2 linked regions of the Drosophila melanogaster genome follow. The protein of the gene in region 2 interacts with the protein of the main gene of each other region in a pairwise test. Each region holds a gene or a part of one and is shown on either strand. Other genes may lie near its edges.

Evidence for each region. Proteins that work in one complex are often made in the same cells at the same time.
Region 1: the proteins of cpb (region 2) and porin interact in a two-hybrid assay, tested with the Drosophila melanogaster proteins (one large-scale study listed by BioGRID).

What each region holds. Positions count from the first base shown.
Region 1 is NT_033779.5:10,846,901-10,852,776, forward strand, and holds porin (porin), read right to left. Parts: upstream 3,949-5,876; 5' UTR 3,854-3,948; exon of another isoform or gene 2,616-3,853; intron 2,166-2,615; exon of another isoform or gene 2,131-2,165; intron 1,964-2,130; coding exon 1,644-1,963; intron 1,569-1,643; coding exon 1,341-1,568; intron 1,269-1,340; coding exon 968-1,268; 3' UTR 525-967; downstream 1-524. Other genes in the region: SmydA-3 (SET and MYND domain containing, arthropod-specific, member 3), read left to right, coding at 5,618-5,876. UniProt on the Drosophila melanogaster protein: Forms a channel through the mitochondrial outer membrane and also the plasma membrane.
Region 2 is NT_033779.5:1,703,046-1,707,286, reverse strand, and holds cpb (capping protein beta), read right to left. Parts: upstream 2,386-4,241; 5' UTR 2,176-2,385; coding exon 2,173-2,175; intron 2,157-2,172; exon of another isoform or gene 2,010-2,156; coding exon of another isoform or gene 2,007-2,009; intron 1,888-2,006; coding exon 1,060-1,887; 3' UTR 510-1,059; downstream 1-509. UniProt on the Drosophila melanogaster protein: F-actin-capping proteins bind in a Ca(2+)-independent manner to the fast growing ends of actin filaments (barbed end) thereby blocking the exchange of subunits at these ends.

The DNA.
Region 1 (5,876 bases), 9.1 Mb from region 2:
CGGGCTGTATGAATAGGTGGTATGGTATATATGGCCCGACTAATTTCGAAATTTTTTGTCTACTTTTCAACAGCCTCGATTAGCCGAAAATTTATGTCTAACGCTGCCTGATCAGTATCGAGTTTTATACACGCTGGAGACCTGTGAACTAAAACGCACGGAGTCCTGTGCCCAACCGAAAAAGTTAAGTTTTTCAAGCACAAAGAACTTGGGATCAGTATAAGGTACTTATCTTATTATACAGTTTTTTCTTTCAAGCTTAAATCCTTAAATTAAGCTAACCATTCCCAAGCCTTCCACCACCAACGCTGCAATCAAGATAATTTATTTCTTCTCGATTTATTTCTCAGGTAAATGCACAACGAAAAGGTAAAGATTGTTATTAAGGATGTGATTTTGGTGTTATGTGTGTCCTAGTTTCGCCGCAGGATTTTGCAGGCAATCCGTAAAGCCTTGAGAACTGAAAAAAATGCAATGCCTTTTGAGCCATAATATTCCGTCTTTTCCATTTTGTTTTTTTTTTTCGTTTAATAGGTAAATGTATTTTTACTGCACTTTTGTCAACAACAATTTCGCTAATATTCAATGCACTAATCAAAGCTACATCCAACGACGACGGACTGACCTGACCGACCCATCGATTGCACCACCCATCCATCCCCCTGCATCGTTTGTTTGGCAGTGTCTCTCCTGCAGATTCGCGTGGCTGGGGCAGGGAATGGGCGGATGTGGTGATGGCCGGCTGACAACTAATCCAATCCAATCGAATCGCTAAGATGTGCAGATTCTCTTTATATTTGACTGTGTGTTGTTTGTTTTTAAAGAATATCGTATCTTTTATTTTGTTTGATCTTGTTGTTGTTTCTGCACTTGTCTGGCTGCTGTTATTGTTGTTGTTGTTGTTGTTGGGCGTGTGGGGATGTTAGACAACGTTCAAGGATTTCACGACTAGCGGAAAACCACGGACTTAGGCCTCCAGCTCCAGACCCACACCGATCTTGTGGCCGCCGGCATTGAAGTTCTTGCCATCGACCAGCGTGGACAGGGTCAGGGTGACTCCGTCGCGCAACTTCTGCTGGTAGCCCAGACCCACCTGGCTGGCGTTGTTCACCTTAGCGCGCACGCTGGCATCATCATCCAGCTGATACTTGGCGCCGATGGCGAACTTGGTGTTGCTGGTGCCGCTGGCCCACGACAGCTGTACACCCACATCCAGCTTGTCCGAAGTGCGTTGGAAGATCGAGCCGCTGAACTCCTGGCCATCGTTGCTAAACACCGGACAAGGCAATCATTAGTTTGCATTGATTTCATTTGCCATGCGTGGCAATTGCAATACTTACACAGCTGTGTGCAGAACAAAGTCCTTGGTGGTGTAGCCAAGGGCAAAGTTGTTGGTGGTCAGCTTGGACTGTTGTGTGTCAAATGCGGTCTGGTAGCCGGCCAACCATCCCTGGTAGCCAAGCACGGCAGAGGCATTGATCAAGGGGCCCTTCAGATCAATGTTCACATCCGAATCGGCCTTGACGTTCTCATGGCCGTAGGCAACCTTGAACTTGCCGTTCTTGTTTCTGACGATTTTTAATTAAATATGCAATATTAATTATTCTGCAGTGAACATATATGTAATAACATGTGATCCTTACCCAGACTGAGGAGCAAAGTTGCCCTCCAGGGACAGCTTCAGACCCTCGAGGAGCTGATCCTGGACAGCAACCTCGGTGAACAGCGTGTTGTCTGTGTTCCACTTCTCGGTGAGGGTCAGGCCGTAGTCCTTGACCTTGTACTTGGTCTCCAGGGAGCCGAAGACCTTTCCAGACTCCTGGTTGGAGTGTCCGGCTGTGTTGAACTCAATGCCCGACGAGGTCTTAGTCTTCAGATCGAGCTTCCACAGGCCAAAGTTGTAGCCTTTGCTGAAGATGTCGCGAGCCTGTTTGCCCAAATCGCTGTATGATGGAGGAGCCATCTGGAATGGATTGAAATGGAATGCATTAAATCGCACCTTCAATTAGTTGGTGAATAATCGATAATCATGACGATGATACTTATTGCGAAATCATTTCACTCGCCAGGTCATTAATTGCGTTTAGCGAACGATAAGTTTAATCTTATCAGCAACATAATGATTATTACTTTTTGCTCGACTTGATTTCAAAATGTTCTATCGGCCGCAAATGAAAAGTGAAAACTAAAAGACGCCAAAAAACAGCATCAACATGTCCCAAGAATTTCGAGGGCTTTTTCCCCATTTTCACTTTGGCTAAATGTCAATTTTGTGCGGCGAAAATAAAGAAATCAATTTAGATTAGTGTTCAAGGCGGCCACATGCAAAGAATCACCAACTGAAGCAGCGAAAATTCTGAGTGACTGAGGAGGGGGTCAATGCACGTCTGGGCAAAATAAAGTGGCGCAAAAAATAGAAGCGAAGATAGAAAACAAATAGTGACTAAGTCTATTTTACTCCAAGAAATTAAGGGTTTTCTATACCAATGCAAAACCATTTAAATCAAAATTTATTTTTCAAATATTTTTATAGGTTTTTTAAACTAAAATTTTAATAAAAATACTGAGATTTTCCCTATTTATCTGGCCACAGGTTTGCCTCTCTCTATGTTTACGTTCCGTTCTTGCTGGCATTAATTGCTGGTCAGTTCAGTCCCGTTAGGCTAGCGATCATTGACTCAGAAGCTAACTGCACATTTGCAACGTCTGCTGTGGTCACTGCTTCGCTGTTTCTATTTGCGTGACGTCAGGAATGCGACTCACAGTCGCGGTAGGAATATTAGTCGCGGATAAATAAATTTCTATCCGATATTGAGCATAAAAAAAATCAAACAAAAATAACCCAAAACATCTAATTGAAATTATTATATAGATATAACAATATAAATATTTCATGTTGTGTTCGGGGGGATTGGTGGGGGGAAACTCAAGGCAATCAAGGCAGAAAATTATGAAAAGCAGCGGCCAGCAGACAAAAATCTTTATGGCCGGCAGCCAAACGTTAAATGGGATGGGCTCTTATTGTTCCGGAAGTCAGGTGATATAACCTGGTCACTAGATGCTGAAAATAATACTATCAGGTGGATGTCCCGGTGAAAATGAATCAGCATCTCGTTGACGATGACCTTGACAAGCAGATTATAAAGGGGGTGGTTGGGTGGATGTGCAGCTCATTTTTTCGACAGTTGCATAACAGCAGGGAAATCGATGAGGGAAAGTGGAAAGCTAAGTGAATAGCTGCCCGAAAAGGTGGTCTATTGATTTTCCAGGTGACGTCACTGCGAAAATACCACCCACAATCGCGAAGTGCACCCACCTCCTCACATGACCACAAACAAACAAAACGACGATAAAGAACGGTAAAGAGTGAAATCGAAAATGTTTATTGAGCGAGCTGCACGCTGGTGGATGGCAACATGACGATAACGAACGGAATTGATGCGACATGCGTTACGTAACGGAAATTCGCCAGGCACTTTTCCATCGATCTCTCTGCTTCTTTGCCCCCTTTTTTCGCCGGCAGCTGCTGCCAATGAACTGCGAAGGCATTGGTGTGCGTGGACTGTTCATGTGTGGATGTGTGTGTGACAGCTAACCGGCTTAATATCCCCTTTAAATTTCGGATTTATCAATTAATTATTGCGTGATTTGGTGATAAGAAGCTCGCCCATCGTCATCCAACAAAAAAGTGCTCAGCCCTTTTGCTTTTCGTTCATGCGCGTGTCTACTTGCAATTTTTTCATTTCGAGGTTATGAAATCACTGGCACCGAAAATCCTGATTTTCCTTCTACCCATAGGGGTATCCATCACATTTCACTGAATTTTGAGGGGGTTTACTCCTGAGCTACTTACTTTTGATGAGTTTTAGTTTGGTTAGAGTGTAATGCGAAACGCAGAGGAACAGAGACACCACGACAAACGTACACCAAAAAATTTTGTAATTCTGTGCCTTAGTGTTACCAACCCTAAAAATTCGTCCAATAATTATTCCCTAAAACAAGCCGCAGATATACTATCTGGTAACGCTGCGTCACTCTTAATGGCAATGGTCACACTTTTTGTAACGGAAATTTGAAAACTAACGGTTACTTAAAATAATTATTGAAATTAGAATTCAATCATTCTATTAAGAAATTCGTTATCTTAAGAACAATTAACTTACATCAAAGTGTTTTTTTTTTACATAAAAGGGTTTCCTGCAAACGAAAACTTTAAAGTTGTGGACAAGTAAATGGGCTTTAAAAAAGTTATAATCCAAAGCAATCAAAATGCAATAAATATATTACAACTTTATTGATTGACACCAATGAAGTGTGTGCGATGCTCTTTTTATTTTTAGACGAATCTGCGTGCAGGGCCGCCAATCGACCGCATAATCCCATTCGGATGGGCCAAAAGCGAGACCAGTGCATTTGCCGTGCGGCGACAGAATGTTGAAGGCCCGTCTGCAGGAGGACGCCGTGCTGGGACGCTGCTTGGCCACCTCTAGCTCCGTGGAGCGGGGCGAGCTGGTGCTGGAGGAGCTGCCCTTCGCACGCGGACCGAAGCGCGACAGCGGAATCGTGTGCCTGGGCTGCTACCAGTTCCTGCAGTTCGGAGAGGACGGCGATTCGCTGGACCGCTGCGAACTCTGCGATTGGCCGCTGTGCGGATCGTGCGCCGACGACGAAGACGTCACGGAGCACCGCGGAGAGTGCCAGGTCTTCTCCGCCGCACGTGTCACTTTCGCCGGGAATGTGAGCGATGATGGCGTCTGCCCGCAGTTGGATTGCATAACCATATTGAGGTTAGTTCGCGGGCGCTCCAGCGGGGCGGGGGTGATGGTGCTGGGTACATCCGTACAGCAGGGGCTACTGGGTGCTACTAGGGGAACCTGGGCGGTCTGTCCGAATATTAGTTTTGGCAGCAGCGGCCCATTTCTCGCAGTTCGCAGGCTAGCCGGCATATACAGATTCTCATGGCGACTCTACGTCAAAGAAGGCGGACGGATGGATTAACAAGTCTGTGAAAGGGACAGTGGAGCAAATCGCACAGAAAATAAAAAATAAATAGCTAAATTTAAAGTGCATGAAAGTAAGGAGAAAATTATGGCATGAAACAAGCCATATTTGTACATATTATTATGACAGAATAATTGGTATATGATAGTTGCGGCGCGTTATGATCAATGTACCATCATGTTTTTATATATTTCGTAGCAAAACTGAACTGTAAGCACTGTGAATTATTATTTAAATAATGTTAAGCACATGTTTAAATAGATCGGTGCTTAGTACTTAGAAATAGAACTAACAAAGCCAAGCAACTTAAAAGTTACAAGCAACTTAAAAGTTACAAGCAACTTAAAAGTTACAACCAGTAAATTATTTAATTTATGAAAATGTAAGGTATTTTAGTTATTATAGAAATTGAACAATGTTTTCTCAAGACAATTTGTTCAAAACTAAAATTTCTCACCTAGGACCTCGCATGCCCACTGTGCCCAGCAATTTTGATGCTTTATGTCGGAGCAGGCAGAAATGTAGTCATGTAGTGGGGAGGAGGCATCATCTGTGGGGTGTGCCCATGACATGAGATCTGAGATCTGAGTGCGGCCAGCCGGCATCAGTCAGCGAAATGACATCGCCGCCAACGCTGTCGGTGAATAGGACAGCGGTTCAGTGGAGTCCGGTCTGCGGACGCTATCTGGTGGCCAAGGGAGCGATCCGTGGCCACGGTCTGCTGATCGAGGAGCTGCCCTTTGCCGTCGGGCCCAAGTGCAATGGACCGGTGGTGTGCCTGGGTTGCTACGAACCCAACCCAGATCCGGAGGAGGAGCTGTGTAGCGAATGTGGCTGGCCGCTGTGCGTGGAGTGCGCCCAACAAGCGGATAACG
Region 2 (4,241 bases):
AAAACGCGACTATGCAAAGATTAAAAGTAATTGTCTAAGTAAGCACACAATCGTTTGCGTCACACACCTCAAGGTATTTAATTACATATTTTTAATCAAACGGTCTCCGATTTTCATAAATAAATGCAAACGTATCTTAAAGGTAGCCATGAACCAAACTCGCCATGTTTTTCTTTAGTCCTTATCTAACTAGCTTATGATATGATATGTCGTGACTAAAAGTAGAATATGGTATACATCGATGGAGTGATGTGTAGTAGTTTATTTTATATATCTTATCTTTTGCGATAATATGATGTTTTCCCCCAATGAAACCACTTCTAGTTGTAATTCAATATTTATTAGTTTCTTTGTATAAAATTTCTCTTGCCTTCCAAATTTCAGTTAAAAAATATTAAGTAAAGAAGAAAGGTAATGTGCATTTCCTCAGATAATACAATCACAAAGCGATTTCAGTTAATATTTTGCTTCGAGCGCCTTACTGTTAGATTACACACAAACACAAAGTTACAATTAATAAACACAATATTTATTCGCGGAAGGATTAAGAACGAAACGCAAGTGCCTCGACTTCGGTGCAAATATGCATTATTACAAATAAGATACAAATACTTATGGATACTGTCTTGAGGGCGGCGAAGTTGGCATTTTCGGCTGAACTCTGGATGAAGCGCGACTCCAAACGGCAACAATGTGGGAGGACAGTTGAAACGGGCGGGCAAAATTTACATTAATGTGCTTCTCGTGGTGTAACAATTTTCTCATGTAACAAATTTACTGCCTAGAAATGCGTATTTAATATTTTTTAGTCAGCTCTTTAGTCCAGTCCAAGCGGAGTCCTCCACGGAGCTGCTCAACACAATTGGGCGAGTAACAGCGAATTGGGTGGGTGCAGCCGAAATATTATGAAAATTATTTATATTTATGACAATATTTAGTGGTGACAACAGTGCCTTGCAATTCGAATATTGCTGCGCTCTTCTTGGGAGCAGCCAGCTTGTGGGACGCCCCTGGACTGGATTGGTTTATGTGGAAATTCAGCCTTCAGCCGCTCAGTACTCAGTTCGATTCGGGCTTGACATTGCGTCGCAGGATTGCCGCTGCGAGGTCCTGCTTCATGGCCGCCTGCTGGCGCTGATCGGCCAGTGATTGTGTGCTCCTTAGTCCGTTCACGATGTCCTTGGTCTTGCCAAAGTAGATCTCGTTCAGGGTGTTCCTGATCTTGTTCTCCATCTCCTCGACCATCTTGCCAATGTTGGCGATGTGCGGCGACGACTCGCTGACGTTGGCGTCCTGCTCCTGCTGCCGGGTGAGGGATCCGCCCAGATTCATGGTTCCCGAACCCTGTTTGTTGGTCTGCAGCCAGAGCATTGCCGTGGAGGTGAGCTTGTAGTGGGCCGTCCTGCCGGTGGTCTTCTCCTGTACCTCGACCACATGGATGGAGTCCCAGCAGCCGCGGATCATCTTGCTGCCATCTCCCGCCTTTTTGATCAGTATAACGGCGGCAAACCCGTGATCCAGATCCCATAGGTAGACGGAGGAGACGCCTCCCTCGTAGTACATCTCCCTGTACTGATCGAAGGCATAGTTCGCCTCGATTTCCAGTTTGCGCAGTCGTTCCGAGGGCATTTGGCCATCCTCCAGCGGCGGATAGTAGGAGTTCGACCAGGGCGATCTGTAGGAGTCCCCATCCCGGTTATAGTCGCACAGCAGATAGTCCTTGCCGTGCTCCTTGTCCTTGGCGATCTTCAGCGGCTGGTCCACGGAGGAGAGCAAGTCCTCGCAGAGATCCGGTGCCAAGTCTATCAGATCAATAAGGTTCTTCTCGATCTGCTGGGGCGGCAGCCTCCGCATCAGATCCAAAGCACAGTCCATCTGCATTTCCGACTGAGAAGAGAGGAGAAGAGACACCAGTGAAATTGAATTTGAGTCACTGCACCACCGCCGATAAGAGAGCCCAAAAAATCCCTCCGCTTTCCACTGCCACCCGGCAAACCAGGGATTACCATATATGGGCATTATTTGAGGCCACAGGCCGCCGCCCCTCTGGAGGTTTTCTCGGTGGATTAGGTGATTGCCAAGAATATTTGGCTTGCAGAATGGGCGGTTCCGACCAAAAACACCGTTTGTTGGCCTGCTTTTTTTTCTTGTTACTATTGTAGTATTACTCACCATTTTGGTACTTTCTGCTTTCCCTTGTTTCGATAGTTTTACACTGTTTATGTTAGGGGCCTGCGTTCGCTGAGCAGGGCCGATCTTAAACTCTAGCTAGGATTTCGGGCTTATATTGCAAGTGATTGCACTAAATTGACTCTTTTTCCTTATTATTAGGATTTTTTATTTTTGCTATGGTGTGCTAGAGCTGGAACACAGCCCGATTATTATGCGATATCGTTCATTTTGGTGGAGCATCGATTGCTCGCTCGATTTGGTATATCGATTTCTTACCCGCTAACTATCTAGCGGAAATATTTGAAAATTAACATAACGAATGGCAGTTACTTACTTACAAAAGGCAATAATTTGCAGTACACTTTATAAAAATAAACTCTGGCACTCAATCCGCCCGAAATAAAACCATGGTCTTACTTTTATTATATTTTAGCAACAAGTTTATTGAATTTAGTTTTCGTTCATATACTTTTATGCTTAATTCCATTCTGGTTGCCCATTTCCTCTCCGTGTTTTGTGAGTTTCTGTTACAATGCGTTTGGTTTGTGTGTGACTGTGGGTTTAGCTTACTCGTAGTTTTTAATATGTTACACAAAAATGTATGGCATAATCGTAAATTTTTATCCGAGTTCGTGTTTAAAATATATTTAAGCTGCTTCGCTTTCGCACTCTTCAGACATACATACATACTTATTTAGAAATCATATGCGTGCTCCGAAAACGTATCCTTCTGAATCGATCCTTGGATTTCTTGATTTTTACATTAATTTTAGCCAAATACGTAGCGTGTGGGATTTTGCCTCGTTAGTAGTAGTAGGTTCAATAAACTTAATTAACCGCTTTGGGCTTAGACTCGCGCTTCAAGTGCGCTCTTTAGGTGTATACTTCGACCATATACGATAAATGTAAAATCTCAGACTTTAATTTTTAACTAAGGTGCACTACATACAGAAATCGTTCAGAGAAATGTGAACTAAATCGAGGGATTTTTTTTCGCAGCTCTGGATTTTTAGCCAGGATAAAAACTGTTACAGGTGACTTGTAAAATTAGGGCAGGTTTCACTAATCTCGAATAACTTAGATAATTATAATTTGTATTTCTTAGTCGTTCTTTTGAAGTTTAATATTTCGGCTAATTAATATTGATTTATTTACTTATGCTCTGTCGCATGCTAGACACTGTGCCAATATTCGAAATCAAAAGCGGTTTCAGATTCAATAATAGTACATAACTCCATTTTCAATCGTATTTCTCGTTTCATCGTTTTTCTTTCGCTCAATAATTATGCAACACTTGCTTATCAACGCTTCTTCGACAATCAAATGTAATCACAGTTTTATGTTTTCCTTCTTTATATAAACTCATTTTCATTTAGCTATTTATTTCACTATTTTCGCATTTCGCGTCGAGTATGTGTGTGTGTGTGTTTCTGTGAGTGTGTTTGTTGTGGCTTGTTCTTCTTGACTTGTGTGGGTGGTAAAACTAAAAATTCTTAGGGCTGGTTTACTACACGCCTAGTCCTCATGTGCTTCAAAAACTCACCTAACCTTCTCTCAATCCTCAATCTTCAATCATCGATCCTCGATCTTCAACCTTTCGGATCCCATGCTTATGAACATCTCAACTCACTGATCCTTGCCATGATCGCATATTAGATTATTAATACTATTACGTATTTAGAAAACTTTAAGAATATTGCACAACTTGTGAAAATGCTGATTCTGACTTCTGACCGACTGCCCGCTCGATTCGTTATAAGTTTTTAAAAATATTTCATTTAATATTTAATACCTGAGTTGTTCATAATCGTTTCGCATGATTATTACATCCGTTTTGCGGTTGCTTTCATAATTTTTTTTTTTTTTATCGTAATACATATCGAAAAAGTTTCTGTTTTTCTTCTCATTATTTATTTTTTTTTTTTGTTTGTATTAAATGCATGTATACATCGTCGTGAGTCTTGATAATGCCCTGAGTTTGCTCCAAACGGATTTGCGTTTTTTTAAAACTATTTTTTTTTTTGTTTTTCGTTTAACCTTATGCACGTAAAGTACTTCTCATTCCGAAA